2 linked regions of the Caenorhabditis elegans genome follow. The protein of the gene in region 2 purifies or fractionates together with the protein of the main gene of each other region. This does not show direct contact. Each region holds a gene or a part of one and is shown on either strand. Other genes may lie near its edges. The genes, in order: ran-3 and tsr-1.

The links.
Region 1: the proteins of tsr-1 (region 2) and ran-3 fractionate together in Caenorhabditis elegans (co-fractionation; one large-scale study listed by BioGRID). This does not show direct contact.

The regions. Positions count from the first base shown.
Region 1 is NC_003280.10:8,314,356-8,326,635, forward strand, and holds ran-3 (Regulator of chromosome condensation), read right to left. Parts: upstream 10,698-12,280; 5' UTR 10,696-10,697; coding exon 10,618-10,695; intron 10,572-10,617; coding exon 10,253-10,571; intron 10,196-10,252; coding exon 9,858-10,195; intron 9,812-9,857; coding exon 9,517-9,811; intron 9,443-9,516; coding exon 8,871-9,442; intron 8,815-8,870; coding exon 8,707-8,814; 3' UTR 8,257-8,706; downstream 1-8,256. Other genes in the region: shw-1 (BTB domain-containing protein), read right to left, coding at 4,756-4,807, 5,851-5,942, 6,979-7,116; C26D10.3 (Pyridine nucleotide-disulfide oxidoreductase domain-containing protein 1), read left to right, coding at 11,111-11,251, 11,301-11,748, 11,796-12,037, 12,085-12,280.
Region 2 is NC_003280.10:2,467,122-2,479,409, forward strand, and holds the start of tsr-1 (Xpo1 domain-containing protein), read right to left. Parts: upstream 6,250-12,288; 5' UTR 6,137-6,249; intron 4,116-6,136; 5' UTR 3,990-4,115; intron 3,944-3,989; 5' UTR 3,913-3,943; coding exon 3,739-3,912; intron 2,376-3,738; coding exon 2,091-2,375; intron 1,932-2,090; coding exon 1,791-1,931; intron 1,200-1,790; coding exon 838-1,199; intron 1-837. Other genes in the region: mnat-1 (CDK-activating kinase assembly factor MAT1), read right to left, coding at 6,987-7,070, 7,125-7,217, 8,136-8,390, 9,054-9,144, 9,207-9,320, 10,036-10,242, 11,067-11,155; F53G2.12 (Complex 1 LYR protein domain-containing protein), read right to left, coding at 11,200-11,207, 11,491-11,686, 11,887-11,955.

The sequences.
Region 1 (12,280 bases), 5.9 Mb from region 2:
AGTTCCACAGATGTGTTCCTGAAAAGATAGCCATATAAATGGAGAGTAGACGGGATTTAATGGGCTTGCAATTTGAGAAAAGTTAGTTGATCGAACGTATATTTCAGAATTCAAAACAAAAATAGGATAGCCTGGAATGTGAAAACTAAATTAAAACTAGCAGCTGAGATATTTTTAAGAAATATCCACAGCTTCAAATTTTAACATTTATTTTAGTTTGTCAACCGGTTTCACTAACACAAAACGTACATTATTCAGCTGAAACAATTACAAAAAGAACGGTATTTGAAAACAGAACTGTATCGAAAAAAAGGGATCAAAAATACTTACCAATGATGTTTCATTCGAATTCTCTCGAGCCCTCCGATAAATCGAAGCGCGCATGTTTCTCGAAGAGAGTCCACTTTAGAAATGATAGCGTCCAGGACCAGGGACGAAGCAGGAGCTTCTCCGTTTTTGGAGGAAGAGAGGGCACTAAAGCTCTTCTTTCCTTTCTCTTTCACTCTCTTTGAACAAAAGAGCAAAAATACTAATTCCCCTTGTTGCTCCCAAAAATGGGTGCCACAAAAAAGAACCGCGGTACTAAACGAGAACCCGGCAAAGAAATTGAAATGTAGAACGTTGTGGTGTCCCATTAACACCACCCAAAATGGGTTCTCTTTTGAGGAAATCTTGATGACACCCCGGTTAGCAAAAGCCTCTTATGACATTTGAAGGGATGTCTAATGGGATCTTGTAGAGCAGCAAAAGAATAGAAAAGATGGCCAGTTAGAAGAGGAAAAGCAAGCTTCGGTTACAGATCAAGAAAGTGCAGACTGGTTAGTTGGGAGTAGATGAGGGATCATGTTTCAGGAGCATCAGTGACACAAGAACATGCCCCGTATCGGATGACGTGACAAAAGTAGGAGAAAACAAGAACTTTGGTAACTTTCGAGTGGTATCACACAGATTTTACAAGTTTCAGAATGCTGGTAGAGGAATCATGTGGAACGAAACCAGAGAAACAATTTTCTATAGGCCTTTGAGATATTTTTCAGTTTTCAAATTAAAACAATTCGAATCATTTTCAATCTACAAGAAGCTTGACATATCTCAAAACTTCAAAACTTCAATCAGCTTGTTTTTAAATAGTATGCAAAATCAATTTGTATATTGAATAAATTCAACGGAAAGTATAATATATACACCCTTTTAAAAACGTACATAGAAAATTAATGAGTCGATTTTTTTTCACAATAGAATATAAAAATTTTCACATTGAAGAACACTTGACTTGAAAACCTAGAATAGTTACACTTACCTTTGTTTTAAGCAGCACCTTTTTTGGGTGAATATCGCCCGCCATTCTATATACTTGGAATACTGCAACTCTGAATTGGAGTAAAGGAAGCTATTATAAAGACATGAAGGAAAAAGGAAATAACATATTAAGATCACCAAAAAGAGTAGAAAATTGGTGGAAAGGACCCCTGGAACACTGAGCGGTCCTGAAGGAGAAAAAAGTCATTTTTCATGTTTTTCGTCCATTGGTTTTTGATGAAAAAGTGATGAAAATATGAGTCGATCTCCGTTACCTGGCGACAGAGATGGAAAACTCATAAATCAACAGTAATAGCTTTTTTATGAGGTGAAATTGGGCGTGCTTAAGAGATAGAAGGTTTCTGTGCTTGTTCATACATGAAAGTGCATTGACCAAAACTATTAACGCAAAAAAAATTTGCTTGGAAAATTTTGACCTAAAAAAAACGACGGAAATTTGTAAAAGCTACACCAATTCTGGGTGTTTATAGTGTTTTTGGACATTTCCAGTCGAAGTAAATTTTCTAGCCACGACAGGAATATTGACTAGTAGAAATTGAAGTTTAAACTGAAAGAAATAGATTTTTGAAAATAAAATCCGGATATTACCTTTTCGGTATCTTGAAAAAATCTAAAAATATGTTTGATTTTTCAGATTTTCTGAAAATTTTCATAGTCTTAAAAATATGATATTTACTGGGATTTCCTTTAAAACCACTGAAACATACTCCGACGGTTATAAAACGGTTCGTCTTTTTAAAATAATCATTATTTTAAATTTGTTTGTATAAATTTAAAAATATTCCAAAAAAAAATAGCGACTCAAGCTGTCAATGTAGAAAATTGTGTTCTTTGAATATTTCTACGCCGAAAACTGCAACATATTTGAAAGTGTAAAAGAATAACTCAAAAATGTTTGAGACAATGTACAAAGGAAATGTTGAGAAAAAGAAAGAAAATGATTGGTCTATAACACAAGAAAATGAAAGAAACTGGAGAAACGACGATTATGAATCAGAAAATTGAAAATAAAAGTGATCCAATTTAAGAAACTTTGCTCAAAACACGTAGTTTGTATTTACATCTAATTTTAAAAGCTGTAATTTTGAAAAAATGTCTTCACTTTAAAGAGTTTTTTTCGCCATAGAAAGTGAAATGGAACAGTGAAGTGGAAAAAAGGGAAAGAGTTAGAAGTTCATGAAATAATCTTTAACTAATTCCAGATAAGACTCTGAACTGGTCTCCCGCGTGTGCGGGTAAGAAAACAACAAAATAAAGGACGATAAATTATTTTACAAGCTCTTTTTCTAAGACGCTTTTGTCTCGAAAACAATATAAATTTTGAAAAAGAGAAACAAAACGGAATTGGTATGTAGGAATTTCATACTTTTCAAAAAAAGTTGTTTAGGTTTGGAATCAATTGAGTCTAAAACTCTTTTTGAAATTGTTTACTTAATAAAATACTAATTTCAAAAGACTTTTTGAATGAATGCAAAATGCTTAATATTATTTTTTCTAGTACCTTATTACCTTATTACGAAAAAAGTTAATTTTTAAACCTAGTTTTTAATTGGATTTAGTTGTAAAAACATTTATTACATTATTGGACTGCTTTTTTTAAACTTGAATTTTGTAAGTAAAACAAGAGGAGAAAGACATGAATTTAGATATTTAAAAGAAGTTTCGTTAAAAGAGAGATAGGTTAGACTTGCTTAGTTTAGACAATTGAATTGGAAGGCTCGGTGAGCTGTAATCGAAGAAAATAGTAGGATGTGCGAGGTGGTTGAAAAATTGAGGTTAAGACCCCTGCACCAGTAAATTTTTTTTTGGAAGAAAGCTTCAAAAGGAGAATGGCAAAATAAATGGGATGAAATTTTTGGAAAAATTTGAACGCGAGAAATGATGAATGGAGTATTTGCAGATATGGAAAAAACAATTGAATGGAAATATTTCAAGTATATATATGACAAAAAATACTGGGAGACCCATATTTCATAGTTTAGTTTCAAAATTTAATTCCCAACAAACTAACCTCTCTCCTCTGGGGACTCGCCATTTCGGCAGGTTTGAAAAATGCAAGCAGAGCTGGATCCATTTCGCTGAATTTTACAATAGAAAGTCACATGAAAAAGGAAAGTCTTCAAAAGAATAAAAACATTGAAAACTTATATGAATAAAATAGAGACACACTTATAGTTTTTAAAAGAATAAAGAGTTTCGAGGGTGCCAAATAATAAAAATGGAGAGGGAAGAATTGAATTGAAGTAGTTTTGAGAGTTATGGGAGTTTTAGTTTTGAGTTTTGAGTGACATAGATGGAATCAAAGAAAAGTATTTGGAAAGAGTTCCTCCGCCGTTTAAAGATAGAAAACATCATTTGCATATGGATTATAAATTGTACATATTCGAACAGAATTTTCTCAGATTATTGAGAAGTTAGGTTAAAGTCAAGTGAATTTACAAGTGGCTTTGAAAATTCTAGATATTTTCCACAATCAAATCTTCAAGCAAAAGAACACATTAAATCTGATAATTACTAAAATTTTGTGTGATCGGCAAATAATAAAATTACAGCACGCACTGAATGTCTGAAAGTCACTCAACAACATCAAAGAACAGGATTTTCCAAAAGTGCATCCAAACCTATAAAAAGTATGCGGAAATCTTCAATGCCGGAGCCCCGCAAAAGTCAATTTCTAAAATGGAAAGGCGAGTTTCAATGAATGGAAGAAGCCGCACAACATCATCGAAAGTGTCAAAAGGTTGCCTTTTTTCCTTTTTACCCGACAAAGAAAATGCATAAAACGAAGAAATAAGAAAAATGGAAAAGAGCATCGAAATGTAAATGTATCAGACCGCTCACAGGATCATTTTTCAAAAAAATTCAAAGAAGCCGGTGCATCTTGAAGACGTCTAAGAAGATGTTCTGGTAGAAGAAAGAAAAGGAAAAGTCACGCTCTTCTATTCCCCTTTCCTCACCGGAAAGACAAAACAAAAAGCCCATTTCGATCTGATTTATCACCTCGTCTTACCTCCTTCCGTTGCAGATTCACCATTTTTATTTTCAGTAGCGAGTATTTTATCAAGTATATTCGAGCACAAACAGATATACACACACTTGTCGTTGATTGGTGTTTTTGTGATGTTACACATACATTGGAAGACACAGATGATACAACTCAACACAATTGATTGTCATCACAGCAATCAATTGAGAAGAGAATAAGATAGAGAGATAAAAAGCATTAAAGTATTTATAGAAAAAGAAATAAAGGTCAATTGGATTTTTTTTCGATTTGAGCAATCAAATCAAATCTTGGAGCTTTTGGAATTTTAAACAAATTTACCAAGGACTTGCTAGAGATATTCGAAAATGCTTTTTTTCTGGATCAACACAAAAATCTATACCGTACTTTTTTAAAAATTAATATGACGTTAATACTAAAAAAAAACTTACTGTTTTCCGATCAGTCATATTGACCTCGTCGAGTAGCATCCGGACCGATGATCTGGAAAAAAAAATTTCAATTCAATTATTTTTAATTTATACAAATATGTTAGATGTAGAGTTAAATTCAGACTTGAATTAAATGAAACTAATGAGGGTTTTTCGCAATTTTGAAAGTTAGCAAAAACTTGTTGAAAAGATTATGGCTTTCCGAAAAACTTCCTCTGAACTTTGAAATATTTTTTCTACAAATTACATTACAACAATAAGAAAAAATAAAGCATATAATAATGTTAAGTAAGGCTGAAAATTTCTCTAGGTAACAAGAATATTGAAAAAATATATATAACTGCTAACGGAGACGACGGAAATTGGAAAATATTTGTGTCAAAACTTCTGAGCCTAATGAAATGGCGTTCCTATTGCAACTGTCTGTTTTCAGCCGAAAAAAAAAACATCTGCAATGTGTAGGGTTTTCTCAAAATACTAGGCTTGAACAATGAAAAAAAGAGTTTAAAAAAATCGAAGCTTTTATTGTGAATTTCAGAAATCACAACTTGGTCAACCAAACTGTTAAAATAGCATTGGAAGTTTCAATTACTTTGGAGGCAAAAAAACTAAAGTGCAAGCAACTGATACGTGAAAAAATGTTAACTTGATGCAAAGTGGCAACTTTTGTGCTTCATCTCTGCAAAAGCACTTTAATTAAACAAAGGAAAGGTGCGGAAAGGAGCATCGTGCTGCTCTCTTGTCGACGACGTCGTCCACTTTAATTCCAACTTTTGACAATGTCTCGGGTGTCACACAAGGAGACTTCTCGTGTGTCAAAAACGGGATTATCTACTCTTTTCCTTTCTTTTTTTGCCGTTTTTTAGATGTGTTTCGAATATGTGTTTGTGGGTGGACAACGCGGAAAAAATAACGGTGGATCAGTGAGAAAAGGGAAATGGACGGAAGGAAACAAAGAAAACACATTGAGACATTTTGGAGGAAAAGCATATACAAGAGCATAAATGGCATAGTTATGAAGAAAAGAAGAAGATTACTCACAACCCATAACAGAAAAACAATAACGTTTGCAAAGATATCTTTAAATTAGCATACCTTTTTCTCCCATATCTTGAGAATCCCCTTTCGATTGTACGTTCTGATGAAGACATTGATGTGTCATCTTCATGAATTGAAAGATAATCCATCTGAAAATAATATTATGGATTTCAGAGTTCCAGAAAGATGTTTAGCATTTGAGTGAAAATTCGAAGAGAGTTTGTTTGAAATGTTATGAAAAGAGTTGCAATTTGACGATCAGTTAGGGTTAAAATTATTTCTACCGTACCTACCTACAGCACACTTACATACAGCAAATTTCAAAGCGATAACCTAAGGAAGTTCAATAAAATTCGTGATTTTTTTTTAATCTTAATTGACTGTCTGAACACCTTGTCAAAAAAAAGAATGCATTTTCAAAGAGACTGTTATCCCAGAAAATCTACATTTTATTCAGTTTTTCCAAAAGTTCCAGTTTAATATTCCCGTAATAGATTTCTAGATTGTTAACTGCAAGCTTTCAGAAGATATATATTCTGAAAGTTGAAGGCTTTCACTAAGATAAAACATTTGAAATTGAACTGTAATGTAAGCCGTCACATTCACAGCCTTACAGTACATTTGAATAAAATAGTAAGTGCACTACAATACTGAAATCTAAGGTATATCTCAAACATTAAATTCGTTTTCTTTTTTTGGAAATCGATTTCTGAGCCCGTATATTATGCTTTGAGAGAAATACTTGCAAAAAAAATTAGCTAGAGCTTCTGCATTGAAAAATCCTTGAAAACTAGAAATTATTTACAAAATAATAGATGCAGGTGAAACAACGTTATCAAAACATGTTCTGTATTAAATTTTTGCTATGAAGTAAAATGTTTATAGAAGAGCAAGATTACGTAAAGAGCATACTAGGACTTGTGTTACAAGTTCAGAAAGTTAGTTTTGAAAACTGAGACACAAAACCACAAAAACCAAAAATCGAATGCACCACACAGAATTCACAAAACATGTGTTATTTTATTACGTTCGAAAATTCAACTATAGGTAGCATTCAGTGAAAAGAAAATGCTAAAAATATCGGTGAAGGCTTAAAATTTTTACACCTTTTCGTTAACTTCAAAGTTATTTGGTTTTATTGGAAATATCATGTGAGCATGCAAAATACTAAAAAAAATCACAAACCGATGGTACTGGATCAGTAGTTATTTGGAAAGAAACATGTGAAGAACTGATTGTTTGAATTGGAGTATCGACGACTTCTTTCGATGCATCCACGTCGTCTGACGTCCTATCGTAGTTGGGAAGTGATTTGGATGACATAAATGGGAATTGGAAGAAATGTGGGTGCCAAATGAATCAAGCACAACGAGCAAAAAGATTGATGAAATTAAAAGAGGAAAATTGATAGAAAATAGTGAAAAGGGTAGCAAAGGTCCAAAACAAAACGTGCAAACAAAGAAATACAGAGATGAGATTTCAATTTCCTGAAAGTCGAGCACAGAAGCCAACTTAATGAGAATCTGACTGACAACGTCATCAGACAAATTTTCAAATCAAGTTGTTGCAATAACAAAAGAGAAAAGGATTTTGGATTCTTTATAGCTACTATTATAATGTTGTCAGTTGTGTCAAAACAACCAAAGAAATTAGATAGATATCAGATAATTTTCAGTCAAGAAGAAATTAGTCGCTTTTTTTCGAAATTATTGTTTATTAGAATAGTTTGTACCAGCAAGCATATTCTGAAAATTTTAAAAAGGTCAAACGGTAGCTAACATACAGGCATTTACTGCACTAAATTTTTATTTTAAGAGGCGACGAGAGAATTAGGTGCCTTCGCTACGAGATATTCCCGCGCCAAAAACAGTAGGCATTCTCATGATCTCATGGTTTCTTAATAAAACATGGTGCAATATTGAGTTACAGTAACTCGGTGTCCACGTGTCAAAACCCGTGCACTTATGTAAGCTATGGCGAAAAATGCTCATCTTTAGATGCCTATATAATAGCATAAAGGTTGCAAAACAACTACCAATAATTCAATGAGCCATTAGATTTCGCATAATAAAGTGTTGAAGTTACGCAAATGTATCCAATTTTTCATACTGAAGACAATTTGAATATATATTTAGAATCTGGGTCAAAAGACGACGTGTACTCATCTTTGGAGGTTTTTGCTCCGAGCATGATCCGAGAAGGGCGGTCCCTTCCGGCACCCAATTAGACTCGCTTTCAAAGCCGTTGTTGTACTAGAGAATTGAGATATCTATGAGGGAGTTTTGGAGATGTAGCTCAAAATTCCAAAAAATAAAGGGAAAATTGGAGGTGGATTAGGAGCCTATTTGCATTCAAATCGACTCGTATAATGAGCAAAGGAAACAACATAAGTGGGTAAATAGCAAATATTAGAAGCTCTCTGAAAATTGAAAAAAAAAACGAAACCAAGAGTGTACATTGTTTCACAGATACCCATTGATTTATTTGTCCTTCCAGGAAACGTTTACCATAAATGGTGAAACGGATTATAAAACAGTGAGTTCACATGATAAGAGAACAACATAACTCAGGCTAAAAATGAAAAATTTTTGGATTCCAATATATAGCAGAACTAATAGGGGGTTTTGAGAAAACATAGAAGTTGGAAATCAATCCAGGGATAGAGTGAAGTGTTTAAACGTCGTTGTGCAACGACGTTTCAACAATTCTCCATTTTCACAGAAGGGAACTCTATCCCTTTCTTACATGACTGATGCTACTTGACAAAAATGAAATGATAAAAAAAACAGAAAAATTGATGAGAATGTTACTGGAGAACAATCGAATTGGCTACCGGGAAACGAAAAAATAACAAAATAATGCTACAGAGACAAAACAAAACTGATATAAAAGTTGAGAATAAAACCAAATAATTTAATTTTTCTTGGCAATAATCAAAGTGTGCTGATCGGAAATCGAAGCCCCGATAATCGAATAACCGTCAAGATGGGCGGAGCTGATCTCCTCTGGCTTGGACACCATCTGGAAAATAAGATTGAATATTTTATTTATTGATAGTTTGAGTTTTGAAAAATTACCTTCTCGTCTTCGTCTTTCAATCCGAGACCAAGTTGTCCGGTAGTATCAAAACCCCAAGCGTAGGCGGTTCCATCCTCAGACCAGGCGATAGAAGTGGCTAGTTTGGCAGAAACACCAACGATCTTCGAATCGAATTCTATTTCCTGGATTGTATCGTACAACCAATGCTGTTGGTCGTCCTTTCCAGTCCAATTACCGAGGCCGAGAGCATTGTCTGTGTTCTTTCCCATAGCAAACACTTTTCCATCACTTCCGAGAATGACGACATGCTGGACTCCTTCGATATTAACGAATGTTCTTTCTGCTCCAAAAGCTGGGGCTTCTGCTGGAAGAAAAACCCGAAGCTCGCGGTTGTCCTGTCCGTCTTGTCCGACATCAGCTTCGTCAACTTTGATACCGAGTTGAGCATAGTTATTGAGTCCGAAGGCGTAGTATTTTCCGTCTTCTCCGTGGACAATAGTCCAAAATCCACTGGCGAACACGTTTTTAGCAACAACGTCAAAGAACTTTCCTTTATGCTTAAATCTGAGGGGCACGAGTAAATGATCACCAGATTCATCGCACATGTACTCTGAAATAAAAGTAATCTGTGATGTATTTTGAAACATTAATTCATAAACCAAACAAACTTATGAAAAATCTCACTTGAACGAATAGTTTTGGTACGACTACTGCGTCCTAACTGTCCCATTTCTCCATCACCGAACGTGAGAAGGCAGCCCTTCTCATCCAACATCACGAGATGGTTCTCGCCAGCTGCGATCTTCACAATTTTACGTTTAGCTTGGTGGACAATAACCACCGGCGCTTCTTGCATCTTATGAAGGAGTGGATGAACATCAACGTTTCCATTGGAGTTGCGAAGATTTCCCCAGGCAATTACAGATCCTTGATCAGTGAGAGCAGCGGTAAACGAGGCTCCAGCGGCTAGCATTACAATCTGAAATAATATTTGAATAGAAACAATAATAAGACAGCATACAAACCTTTCCTTCCTTCTCGATATCTTCCTCGAACTTTACTTTCGCAAACTCGTCGGTACTTCCTTCCTTCTCTACACCTTCCGCGGGAACAGTTCCCTTTTCGTTGATACCGCACATATAAACTTCACCCTCAGAGGTAAGTACTGCTGAGTGAACTCCTCCTGCGACGGCTTGAAGTGGTTTTAAACCTTCTTCTTCAAAAATATCAACTTTCCGTGGCTTTTTTGTGGTGGTTCTTCCTGGGTGACCCAGAGCTTCTCCTTCTCCGCACGACAAAACTCGATCGCCAATAATAGAAGGAGCGAACAGGTCATAAGTTAGAAGTGGTGCAACCAACTTAGCTGAAAAATTATTTTTATGTTGTTGTTTCAGAAAATATATTTGAAAAACCAACAAACCTTGTTTCCGTCCTGGAGTTTTAGGCTCATTAAGGGTCGAGTTCATCGTACTATTAATAGTGGTGTTTACTGATTCACTACCCTTACGTTTTCTACCTCTTTTGCCTGGAGTTACAGCAGACTCTGCGGCAGCAGTAGAAGTAGATGGTAATTTTTTTGGGCGTCCAGCTCTCCGGGGAGTTTTGGGAACATTGTCGACGATAGAGTCTGATGCTTCAGTTTCCATGGCAGCAAGTTCAACTTGTTCGGTAACCTCTTCGTCTTCTCCGTGATTTCGAGCACCCGAAGCACTCGACTCTGGCTGATCAGCTCGTGGTGTCTGAAAATCAATAAATATGACGAAATTGTTGATTTACGAAACCAACCTTATTTCCTTGTTCGTTTACATTATCGTTCGGGAGTTCTACCTCTGAGGTGTCCATTCTTTGCTCCGCAGTTGACATTTCTGAAAACAAAAGAATAATATCGAAAGTTGATGAAGGTAACAATTTCCTGTCAAGGTTAAGTTTAGGAGAGTAACAAGAGATGAAAAACTTGGAGAGACACCATGTTCTGAGAAGATACCGATAGAAGAAATGCAACGGGTGTGCGCAAATGCGCAAAAGGTATTTTAAAAAAAGATTAAAGAAGAATGATTAAAAAGAAGTTACTTAAATTTAAAAAAATAAATAGATGTTTACAAAAACGAATGAATTTTGTGAGGAGGCGGAGCTACTTTTGAAATTTGCAATGCGCGCACGCAGTTTTGCAAGGCCGCTCCACGGAGAACAATGTTCTCGATATATTTCTCGAGTAATTCGTATCCTGCGAATAAATTGAGGGTAACTTGGTTTTCAAGTTAACTGGAACATATTTAGCATGAAATATATAATTGTTGGTGGTGGAATTGCTGGAGTTTCGTGCGCCAGTCAAATGCTTCAGTTAGAAAGATCAGCGAACTTGGAAGTAATTATAATCTCCGCGTCAAGTTTCGTGAAGTCTGTGGAGAACTATCAAAAAGTAAGTTGATGAAAACATTTAAGTTTAATAATTATATGGAAATTTTCAGATCGGGCAGTACGGAGAGAAATTTGACGTAAAAGAGACAAATTGCCACGAGCTCTTCCCAGATAGTAGAATTCGATTCTTGAATGACACAGTGGTTACGTGGGATTCTTCAAAAAATGAAATTCATCTGCAAAACAATGAGAAACTGAAATACGATAAACTGTGCATTGCTACCGGATCTCGTCCTAAATTCCAAAAAGAGTTGGGAATTGATCGCAGGATAGTGTTCTTACGAGATACACAGAGCGCGATTCAATTGAAGACTAAACTAAAAAATGCAAAAAATATTCTAATTGTCGGAAACGGGGGAATTGCTACTGAATTGATCTTTGAGCTTAAAACGTTCGACGTGACATGGCTGATCAAAGATCCTTGGATCTGTGCTTCGTTCTTTCCGGAAGACATCGAACAATTCATTGAAAAACGATTGCTGAAGGGACGGATAGATGGTTCGTTCTCGAGATTTCATGTATTGCGTGCTCATCTGAAACTTCAGGTAATAAGCATGACGGACAACAAAAACATCTTCAACATGTAGCTGCTTCTGAATCTGTCTCTGAAAATATGAACAACCCTTCTGGACCAGCGTTGGGTCCCGACTGGTGTTCTCAAATAGACTTTCAGAAAATTTCGGAAAAATCTGAAAACCGATCGGTGACTATCTTGCGTAATTGTGTTATAACAAGCACCGATACGTCCCAAAATTTGTCGGTACATTACATGGATAAAGAAAAGATGGTATCATTTTAAGTTATCGTACCATTAAGCCTAGTTATTTTATTAAGGCAGATAACCAGCTCAATCCAGATATTTTTATTTGGGCAGGAGGTGTAACTGCCAACTCAGAAGTCTGGGCTATGAATAAAATGCTCCAAATCACTGAAAATAGTGGAATTAAAGTCAACGACGCTTGCGAAACCTCACTTCCTAATGTTTTTGCATGTGGAGATGTTTGTGCACTGACTACCACAGAACCATCAA
Region 2 (12,288 bases):
GGCTGGAATACGGTATTTATTGCATGTTTCAGCCGAGAATACCAACTATTCAAACCATCAATTAGGATAGAAGCACACAAGTCACAGAAATTTCGGATTTTGGGGATTTTTTGAAATTTTTTTAGACAATTTTTCAAACTTTGGGTAGAAAAATCCAAATTTTTTTGAATTTTTCGATGAAAAATCTTAAATTCTAATGTTATCTCAATTTTCGGACTAAAAATGTGATTTTTCCTACAAATCTCTCTCTGTTTAGGCTTAAATTCGAAAATTTCATAGCACACGCGTTGCGGTCGCGTCGCGGTTTCAGCTAGAAATTTCAAAATGAAGCTAAAAGCTTCTAGTTTTCGAGTATCGAAGCCAAATTTTATGAGGAATTCAATTCTGGAACTCAAAATACCCAGAAAATTGAAAATTGTTGTTCAGCCAATTTTGAACACACAGTTTTTTTCGAACAAAAAATTTTTTTTTTGAAAATTTTCAACTAAAATCTCCATTTTTCACGAAATTTCCCGGTTTTTTCTGAATTTTCATCGATTTTCATAATTTTTTCGTCCAAAAAATAATTATTTCGACTAAATTGGCAATTTTTACTGTTTTTCGGTCAAAAAGTTCCAATTTTCTGGTAAAAAAGTGTTTTTTGTAAATTTTTCGCCTACTAAAAATCCAGTTTTTTCGTGATTTTCAGCAGATTTTTGCATTTTTTCGGCCAAAAATCGGGGTTTTTCGGGATTCAGTGAAAACTCGAAAAACTGCATGTTTTAAAGGCCAAAACATGTCAAAAAAAGCCCGGGAAATCTCAGATTTTCTGGAATTTCCCTTTAAAAAAAAACATACGGCAGTAGGTTCTGAACCACTGCAGACATCACAAAAAGCGCCGATTCCGACTCTTCCCACGAGGCGTTGGGCTTATGACAGCACTCGATAAGCTTCTGATGCATCATTTGAATACATTTATCCGAGTTCACAATGAATACAACATCACGTAGAGCTTCGACGGCTTTCAGGCGGAATTCTCCAAATTCTGAAGTTTCATCGAGTAGATCATCGACGTCATCGGCGTCAAGTTTACAGTGTTCGTAGAGGCATTGAATGAATTTCTCAGCGTACGGACGGAAGCGGCCAATATATTGATCATCGTCATATTTGAAGAGCTCTTCGGTGATACGGTACCACACATTGAATGACATCTCGATGAGCTGCAGCAAGAAAATTGCGATTTTTAGCTTGAAAATGAAATTTTATCTGAAAATCCGTGCCAAAATCGGATTCCCCGCTGTTTTATTAGTCTAATCCTAAATTTTCAGCTCAAAATTCGAAAATCGCGTAAAATCTGGTGTTTTGGGGGTACTGAAGATGGTGTTTGCGTACTTTTGGCGCTACCGTACCCCAGGAAATTTCAAAACAAAGCTAGAAAGTTCTAGTTTTCGCGGTTCAGACTGAAATTTTATGGGGAAATCGAATTTGAGATGAAAATTCAAAAATTTTAAGCATTTTGTTGGATTTCTCGAATTTTTGCCAATTTTCGATGTCTCGTAATAATTTTGGCCGGTTTTTAATATAAAATTCGAATTCCCCGCTGCTTTCTTAGACTAATCCTAAAATTTCAGCTCAAAATTCGAAAATCGCGTAAAATCTGGTGTTTTCGGGTACTGTAGTCGGTGTTTGCGTACTCATGGAGCTACCGTAACCTCCGAGACTTCAAAATTGAGCTAGTGAGCTCTAGTTTTCGGTGTCTAGGCTGAAATTTTGTGGGGAATCTGAAAATAATCGAATTTTAGTCAACTTACAGCCCAATCATGGTGCTTAGCGACTAGGAGCAGAAGCTCAAAGCATGCCAGGCTCCCGATTGCCGCCGGATCCGGATTCGCTTCGTTGACGATTTGCACATAGAAGGATTCGACCATCTCAACAAATATACGAGCAATATTCTGAAAAATCGATAATTTATTGATTTTTTCTGGGGAAAAATTGATTTTTTATGGATTTTTCCGCCGAAAATCGATTTCTCACATTTCCCGGGCCGAAATTTATCGATTTTCTCAATTTTTCAGCTCAAAATCCACCAAATTTCTCCATTTTTCCGCTACCTGAAGCCGATCAAAATCCTCCACTTGCTGAGCTTTCTCAAAAGCCGAAACCAGTGAAATGACTCCGCGATGCACAACTTCTGCGAGTTTTCTGTGCATTTCTAGGTCTTCAACACGATAAAGTGCCTGTACAATGCAATTTGTCGCAGTTTCATGGAGACATGACGGAATTATCGGGTCGATCGAGGCGATCACGTGGAAAATCATGGAAATTAGTGGTGACGCGGCAAAGTGATCTGTACGCATTTGATGGTTTTGTAGGTTCGATTCTAAGCATTTGAAGACCTGCAAGTTATCTTTAAATTTAAGGGAAAAATTTTTGAAATTTCAAAAAAAAAAATTTTTAATTTTTTTTTGTGCTGAAAATTTTTCTTTCAACTCAATTTTCAAATTTCCGACTTCAAAACCGAATTCTCTGTAAAATTTGGGCCAGAAACTCGAAAACTAGAGGTTTCTAGCTCAATTTTGAGTTTTCGAGGGTTACGGTAGCGCCAAAAGTACGCAAACACCGACTACAGTACCCCCGGAAACACCCGATTTAACGGGATTTTCGAATTTTGAGTTGAAAATTTAAAGATAGACTAATTGAATGACAGGGAGCTTGAATATTTTATCAAAAATTTGCTGGAAAATCTTTTAACCTCCAAATTTCAGCAAAAATTCGAATTTTTACTAGTTCAAAAATTTTTCTCGAAATTTTTATGCGGAAATTTGAATCCCCCGCCATTTTCTTAGTCAATCCATGAATTTTCAGCTCAAAATTCAAAAATCGGGTAAAATTCGGTGTTTGGGGGTACTGTAATCGGTGTTTGTGTACTTTTGGCGCTACAGTAACCCGGGAAATTTCAGACTTGTCCTAGAAAGCTCTAGTTTTCGACATTTAGCCTGAAATTGTGCGGGGAATCCGAAAATAATAGAATTTCAGCCAAACCATTAGTTTTAAAATCCAAAAGTCGAAAAATTTTCCGAAAAAATTAATTTTCAGTACTTCAAAAATTTTTTCTCAGAGTTTTCATAATTGAATTCGAAGTCCCCGCTATTTTCTTAGTCTATCCCTGAATTTTCAGGCCAAAATTCGAAAATCCCGTCAAATCGGGTGTTTTGGGGGTACTGTAGTCGGTGTTTGCGTACTTTTTGGGCTACCGTAACCCTCGAAAGCTCGAAATTGAGCTAGAAGCCTCTAGTTTTCGGTTTCCCAACTGAAATTTTGTGAGGAATTCGAATTTTGAATAGAAACGTCGAAATTAAGAGTATTTACAAGGATTATTTCGAAATTTTGTTAATTTTCGATATCTCATAATAATTTTCGCAGGTTTTTAATTTAAAATTCGAATTCCCCGCTGTTTTCTTAGTCTACCCATGAATTTTCAGCTCAAAATTCGCAAATCCCGTAAAATCGGGTGTTTTGGGGGTACTGTAGCCGGTGTTTGCGTACTTTTGGCACTACCGTAACCCCCGAGAACTCAAAATTGAACTAAAGAGCTCTAGTTTTCAAATTTAAGAGCCAAATTTAACGGAGAATTCGAATTTGAGCATGAAAATCGTCTAGGTCGGAGAGAAATCGGATTTTTAGCCGATTTTTTTCAAATTTTTTCGGCTTAAAAGCTAGCGACTTCCGGTTTTCGATAATGGAGGTTAAAGTGCGTACTCTCTTGAGAACATCCGCATTCGAATGAAACTTTTCGAGCACATGCGACAAGAAAGTGATCATCGGTTGCTCACAAGCGGCGAGCTCATTTCGTATCGCGTGCCGCCGATTCTCGCCAACTCCACGGATTTGTTCGACTTCTTCAGGAAATACTTGAAGCAGAGTCAGTGTCATTACGGTACGGTCGCCTTCGAGGGCTTGGCATCTGGAAATTTCAGGTTTTTCCAGGCATTTCTCTCAAAATTACGCACTGATTCAACAGCTCAAAAATCCAATTATTCCACGTCGGCACCTGAATGTACAAGTCGGCTATGGCAAGGCATAACTGTGTAGATGTGGCTTCTGATTGAGCATCATGAGCGGATGCTCCGTGGCGACTGCAAAAAAATTTGAAAAAATGGAAAAAATTGCAAGTTTTTGAGTGAAAAATGAAAATTTGGGCATAGCTTCCGCATCCCCGGTGACAAATGTGCTCTATTGCACAAATTGTTGGCTGGAATACGGTATTTATTGCATGTTTCAGCCGAGAATACCAACTATTCAAACCATCAATTAGGATAGAAGCACACAAGTCACAGAAATTTAGGAATTTTTTTAAGACAATTTTTCAAATTTTGGGTAGAAAAATCCAAATATTTCCGAATTTTTCGATGAAAAATCTTAAACTCTAATGTTATCTCAATTTTTCGGCTAAAAATGCAATTTTTCCTTCAAATCTCTCTCTGTTTATGCTTCAATTCGAAAATTTCATAGCATGCGTTGCGGTCGCGTCGCGGTTTTATCTAGAAATTTCAAAATGAAGCTAAAAGCTTCTAGTTTTCGAGTATCGAAGCCAAATTTTATGAGGAATTCAATTCTGGAACTCAAAATACCGAGAATATTGAAATTTCAGAAAATTTTGGACCAAATTTTCAGATTTTTTGCGAATTTTAAGACTTTCTGTTTTTTTTGTCAAGTTGAAGTTAAAATTTTTATCAGAAACTTCATTTCTTACCAAATTTGCTAATTTTCACAAGTTTTTTGAGTGAAAAATGAAAATTTGGGCATAGCTTCCGCATCCCCGGTGACAAATGTGCTCTATTGCACAAATTGTTGGCTGGAATACGGTATTTATTGCATGTTTCAGCCGAGAATACCAACTATTCAAACCATCAATTAGGATAGAAGTACACAAGTCACAGAAATTCCAGATTTTTTGAAATTTCGAATTAAAAAATGCCAATTTTTCTAAATTTTTTCGATGAAATGTTCGAATTTTAAGGCTATCTCAATTTTTGGCGGAAAAAATAGTGAAATTTTCCGATTTTTTGCGATTCTCTCCTCCAAACCAGCCTGATCAGCGTTAAATTCGAAAATTTAACAGCACGCGTCGCGGTTTCGGCTAGAAATTTCAAAATTGAGCTAGAAACCTCTAGTTTCCAGTTTGAAAGCTCAAATTGAACGGAGAATTCGAATTTTAAATAGAAATCTCGAAATTTAGAGCATTCTCGAGGATTTTTCGAAACAAACACCGAATTTCACGAGATTTTCGAAATTTTAGCTGAAAATTCAAGAAAAATCTGAAATTTTGCCATTTTTTAGCCCAAAAATTGAGATTTTCATTTAAAAAAAATCAGAAAATCGAGGGGTTTTCCTTGAAAAAGTCGGAAAATTGTCAAAAAATCTGGAATTTCCCAGACTCGAAAATATGGCAAAAATTGGAAAAATCGACATTTTTGAGTGAAAATCTGTGAAAATCGCGTTAAAAAAGTAGATTTTCGCCAGAAAATCACTGGAAATTGGGAAAAATCCGAGATTTTGAGCCAAAAAAATGACAAAAGTTCAGAAAAATCTCAATTTTTGTTCCTCAAAACAGAAAAAAGTGTTAGTTTTTAAATTTTTAGCCGAAAAAATTCGTAAAAAACCGATTTTTTCCACGATTTTTAACCAATTTTAGCTAAAAACTATCAGTTTCTCACATTTTTCAATCCGAAATTTCCAAAAAAAAAAAACGGTTTCCCCATGTTTTCAGTGTATTTTCGAATTTTCTGTGCTTAGAAACTGTCAAAATCGGAATCCCCAGGAAATTTGAATCGGAAAATCGAAAACTAGAGGTTTCTGGCTCAAATTTGAGTTTTCGAGGGTTACGGTAGCGCCAAAAGTACGCAAACACCGAATTTCACGAAATTTTTGAATTTTGAGTTGAAAACTGAAGTTTAAGACGAGAATTGGGCAAGAAAATTGAATTTCAAATCAGATTTCACAAAAAATCGCTCAAAATTCGAAAATCGGTTCAAATTCGGTGTTTGCGTACTTCTGGCGCTACAGTAACCCGGGAAAATTCAAAATTAAGCTAGAAAGCTCTAGTTTTCATATTTTCAGGCTCATTTTTTGTGTAGAATCCGAAAATCCGGCGTACCGATTCCTGAAAATCCTGCAAAAAAAGTTGGGCGGGCTGTACGTCGGGTCCTCCGCTGTAGAATGCGTCGATCGCTCGACACACCGTTTCCATAGAATCCATGTGATTTTGTTCTGAAAATTAGAGGAAAAATTGAGAAATCTTCTGAAAACTGTTAAAAAATCGCTGAATTTGAACAAAAAATTGGGGAAAAGACGAGAAAATCGATAAAATTTGGTTAAAAAACCCAATAAAATCCAAATAATTGAAACAAAATTTGAGTGACGGAAAAATCGTTTAATTTGTAAAAAATGAGGAAAATCTATGAGAAAAAAGCCTAGAAAATCAGAAAAAATACCAAAAAATGGGTGGAAAAAGAGCACAAAATTTGAGAGAAACTGGCCAAAAATAGGGAAATAATGGGAGAAAAATGCTCGAAAATGAGCAAAAAATGGACGGAAAATCTACAAAAAAATGGTCAGAATTAGGGGAAATTAGGCTCAAATGAGCAAAAATCGGGGGAAAAATGCTCCAAAATGAGCAAAAAATGGTAAAAATTAGGGAGAAAAAAACTTAAAATTCAGCTGAAAAAGGCCGAAACTAGGGAAAAATTAGGGGAAAAATTGAGAGAAAATGGACGAAATTTAGGTTAAATAGGCTCAAAAAAGAGCAAAAAAATAGAAGAAAAAGCTCACAAAAGAGCAAAAAAAATGAACAAAAAATCTACCAAAAAGGACAAAAATTGGACGAACAATCTATCAAAAAATGTTCAAAAATGAGCAAAAAATGACCAAAATTCAGGGAAAAAACGGCTCAAAAAAGAGCAAAAATGCTCAGAAATCAACGAAAAATTATCCGAAAAATCAATAATTTAGAACGAAAACAAATCGATTCGAGCCTCAAAAAGAGCACGTGAGCATCCGAGCATTGGAGTGTAGCCGCCGGCAATGTATTCCTGTAAATTTTCCAATCTTTGGCTGAAATGTGGCCGAAAATCGCTGGAAATTACCGCAGTGGGCTGTCGAATGTGAGCCAGATAGCCGAGAGCCTCGATTTCCGAAACATTTGGCATTGGTGGACCATTGATAACCAATTCGAGGGGCTGAAAAATTGAAATTTAAAAAATTTAAAGATTTTTCCGACTGAAAATCAATTTTCAATAGCAAATTCGAATTCTCCGCAAAATTTTGCACTACACCGCGAAAACTAGGCCTTTCTAGCTCAATTTTGAAATTTCCCGGGTTACGATAGCGCCAAAAGTACGCAAACACCGACTACAGTACCCCCAAAACACCCGATTTTACACGATTTTCGAATTTTGAGCTGAAAATTTAGGAATAGACTAATTAAATGGCAGAGAATTCGGATTTCTTATCGAAAATTCGTTAAAAATTTTTTTTAAACCGGCTAAAAGTCAAAATTTCAATTTCCAGCAGAAATTTGAACGGCTCTGCAAATTTTCATTGTGGAATTCGAATTCCTCGTCATTTTATTAGTCTAATCCTAAATTTTCAGCTCAAAATTCGAAAATTGCGTCAAATCTGGTGTTTTGGGTTACTGTAATCGGTGTTTGCGTACTTTTGGCGCTACCGTAACCCAAGAAATTTCAAAATTGAGCTAGAAACCTCTAGTTTTTGCAGTTAAGGGTGAAATTTTGCGGAGAATTCAAAATTGAGCTTTTAAATTCGAAATTCCGATATCCAGATCCTATTTTCTAGGATTCTTTAAAAAATACGAAAATTCCGAGGTTCAAATCTTTTTCTGCAAATTTTCATTGTGAAATTCGAATTCCCCGCCATTTTATTAGTCTATTCCTAAATTTTCAGCTCAAAATTCGGAAATCGCATAAAATCGGGTGTTTCGGGGGTACTACCGTAACCCTCGAAAACTCAAAATTGAGCTCTAGTTTTCGAATTTAAGACTGGATTTTCACGGAGAATCGGAAAATTGACTTGAAAATCTGAAATTTCGAGTGGAAAAGCTGCATTTTTTCGATTTCTTCCGAATTTTCATGTCCAACCTGGTGAACATAAGCCCTTCCGGCAACACGAATGACCGTATTAAACGACATATTCTCGGCGGCACGTTTTCTCGTCTGTAACATCTCCTTATTTCGGCGTTTTCGTTTCTCCTGTTCCTCCTTTTCCTCGAGTTCCTTTTCGATTTGCTTTTTACGTTCCCGATCCAGAATTACTTCGGCCGCCACATTCGAATCGCGAAGTTCGTCCATAATTTTCCGGGTGTCTGTGACTGCGGAGGCGGCTTCTTGTTCTTTCTGCAAAAAAAAAAATTGAAAAAATTTCAAAATTTTTGGAAAAAATCTCAAATTTAACAAATTTCCCTATACATAATCAAATTCCCCACAAATTTCACCCTTAACTGCAAAAACTAGAGGTTTCTAGCTCAATTTTGAAATTTCGCGGGTTACGGTAGCACCAAAAGTACGCAAACACCGAATTTCACGAAATTTTCGAATTTTAAGCTGAAAACTTGAGAATAGACAGAAAAAATAGCGGAGAATTCGAATTTCTAAACGAAAATTTGAAGAAATCTGTTTAAAGTAATGAAAAATTGGAAAATCTCAAAGTTTTTGTAGATTTTTATGGAAAATTCAAATTTGAAATTGAAAATTCTGAAATTTCATTATCAAATTCGAATTCCCCGCCATTTTCTTAGTCTAAAACCCAATTTTCAGCTCAAAATTCGAAAATGACGTGAAATTCGGTGTTTTGGGGTACTGTAGCCGGTGTTTGCGTACTTTTGGGGCTACCGTACCCCTCAAAGTGTCAAAAGTGAGCTGGAAACCTCTAGTTTTCGCGGTTCTGACCGAAATTCGACGGAGAACCTGAAAATCATGATGATAAGCTGGGTTTTTATGGATTTTTCATCCGAAAACTGGAATTTTTTCTAATTTTCGTCCAATTTCCCCAATCCTAACCGCGTCCATCTCCATATGATCCGTCATTCTCGCCTTCATCGCTCGCTCCTCACGAAGTTGGTCTTCGATCCATTTCTGATCGTCATCCAGTCTGGAAAAATCGGAATTTTCAAGAATTCGAATTTTCACATAAAAAGTTGCTCCGGGCGGTACCTTCGCTTGTTCCGATCGATTTGCTCTTTGTGCTTCTCCTCAAACGCCTGAATTTCGGCATTTGTCTCGTTGACGTTTGTCTCGAATACGAGGTTGTAGACGACTGTCTCGAATCTGAAAAATTGAAATTTTGAATTCGAGGGGCTGAAAAAATGAAATTATTGAAAATTTTTATAATTTCGGAGCTGAAAATTGTCTGAAAATCAATTTTATCTCGCAAATTCGAATTCTCCGCAAACTTTCAGTCGGAAAACTGAAAACTAGAGGTTTCTAGCTCAATTTTGAAATTTCCCGGGTTACGGTAGCGCCAAAAGTACGCAAACACCGTCTACAGTACCCCAAAACACCAAATTTCACGCGATTTTCGAATTTTGAGCTGAAAATTCAGGATTAGACCAAGAAAATGACGGAGAATTCGAATATCTTATCGAAAATTCGTAGAAAAAATTCTTAAAATTTTTGAACCGTCTAAAATTCGAAATTTTAATTTTCACTGGAAATTTCAGCGGTTCAAAAAATTTTCTGCAAATTTTCATTACGATATTCGAATTCTCCGCCATTTTCTTAATCTATTCCTAAATTTTCAGATCAAAATTCGAAAATCGCGTGAAATTCGGTGTTTTGGGGTACTGTAGTCGGTGTTTGCGTACTTTTGGCGCTATCGTAACCCTGGAAATTCCAAAGTTGAGCTAGAAGGTTCTAGTTTTCGATTTTCAGGCTGAAATTTCACGGAGAATCTGAAAATTGAGCTGAAAACACTGGAATTTCAAGTTTTCAGGCATTTTTTTCCGTTTTTTCGCTCAAAATTCGACGATTTCTGCCATTTTACCTCTCCTGATAGTCTCCAAACTCTCGAAGATTCTCAAAATCATCCTGTTTCAGATTATAGATTTTTCTGAGTTTTCTTCGGAGAAAAGTCTCCTTATCGATAAGTGGATCCTCGTAGATTTGTTCTCGGAAATTATTTTTTCGAAGGACCCGGTTGCAGACGTGACAGTTGCCAGAATTCAATGCGAAAATGTTGTCCACACAGTTTCTGAAAAAATCGCAAGTTTTTGGGGTGGAAAATGAAAATTTGGGCATAGCTTCCGCATCCCCGGTGACAAATGTGCCCTATTGCACAAATTGTTGGCTGGAATACGGTATTTATTGCATGTTTCAGCCGAGAATACCAACTATTCAAACCATCAATTATGATAGAAGCACACAAGTCACAAAAATTTATGAAGTTTTAGGGAATTTATTGGAATTTTTTGGAATTTTGAATTAAAAATACCAGCTTTTTCTAAATTTTTTTGAAGAAAATCTCAAATCCTCGAGGTTATTTCAATTTTTTTTGGCTAAAAATGCCAATTTTCGAGATTTTTTTCTCGACAGACAGCGTTAAATTCAAAATTTCACAGCACGCGTTGCGGTCGCGTCGCGGTTCTAGCTAGAATTTTCAAAATTGAGCTAGAAACCTCTAGTCTTCGAATTTCCGACTGAAATTTCATGGGGATTCCAGTTTCTGAGCACAGAAAATTCGAAAATTTACTGAAAACTTGGGAAAATCGTTTTTTTTTGGGATTTCGGCTTACAATTTAAAAAAAAATGAGAGAACCCGCTATTTTTAGCGGAAATTAGTTGAAAATTGTGGAAAAATCGGTTTTTTTCCGCCAAAAATTTGCCAAAAACTGAGATTATTCTAAACTTCTGCCATTTTCGGGCTAAAATGTCGAATTTTTCCAAATTTCCAGGTAGAAAACTCGCGATTTTGCGATTTTCACGGATTTTCACGGATTTTCACGGATTTTCACACTAAAATGTCGGAATTTTTCCAATTTTTCGGCCAATATATCGATTTTCCGGGCGTTTTCTCACTTGCAAAGCGGGTGGCCACATTCATTGATCATCATGACGAGCTGCTTGTTGGTATATTCATTAGACTTGCATTTTTTGCACTCCTTCATCTTGAAAATGGAGTTTTTGGTGGATTTTTGGGTTGAAAGTGGAGTTAATGACCTGAAAAATGAGAAAATTTGGATTTTTCGCTAAAAAAGCAGGAAAAATAGAGGAAGTTAGGCGAAAATCCATGAAAAATGCATATTTTGACGCCGAAATTGGTGTAGATCAAAAATTTGCCAATTATAAGATTTTCGAGAGGAAAATGTTGAAATTCCTTGATTTTCAGCGATTTTTAAGCAATTTTTCAGCTAAAAAATTGGCAATTTCTCAATTTTTTGGGAAAAAATCCCAGATTTTCACGATTTTGTCCATTTTTCGCCGAAAATTCCAGAATATTCACCGATTTTCTGCTCCACGATGGTCTTATTGTGTGGATAAAGCTTGCAGAAGATCGCTTGACGTTTCAGCGACTCCAGCTGCTTCTGACCCTCTTCGTAGAGCTTTTTCTGCTCGGTGACGTCACAAACTGCGCGATTTGCGACAAAGTGGTCACGGATACGGCGTTGGAAGAACGATCTGTAGTTGTACTGTGGGATCTGCAAGAAAATCGGAATTTTTAACGGGAAATTGTGGGAAAAATCGAAGAAATTGATTTTTTGAGGTCGAAATTCGAAATATTTCGAATTTTTCTCGAATTTCGTCAATTTTTTGTTGATTTTCTCGTTTTTCAGCATAGTTTCCGCATTTTCCAGCTTTTTTCAGATCAAAATCGCCGAAAAACCAGCCAAAAACCAACTTTCTCAGCCTCCTTCTGCAATTGTTTGTAGAGGTTGACCCAGGCGCTCTTCGGAATTGCGGAGCTCATGAAATTCACTAACCCTGCAATTTTAGCTACTTTTTCTGTGAAAATTTGCAAAAAAATCGGTGAAAATCGAATGAAAATCGCTAAAAATCGAAGAATTTCGTTTCAAAATCCGTTGAAAATAAGTGATGCGCGTCGGGTCTGGTGTATTGTACGCAAACACCACAGACAAAAGATAAACATTGCGGACTTTTGCACACTTTTGCACAATTTTAAGAGAAATCTGCATTTTAAAATAAAATTAACAAATAATTTATTGAAAATAGAAAAAATTTGAATAAAAATTTTCAAATATGAGGCTAAATTCAAAGTTGAAAACTGAATTTCAGGCGGTTT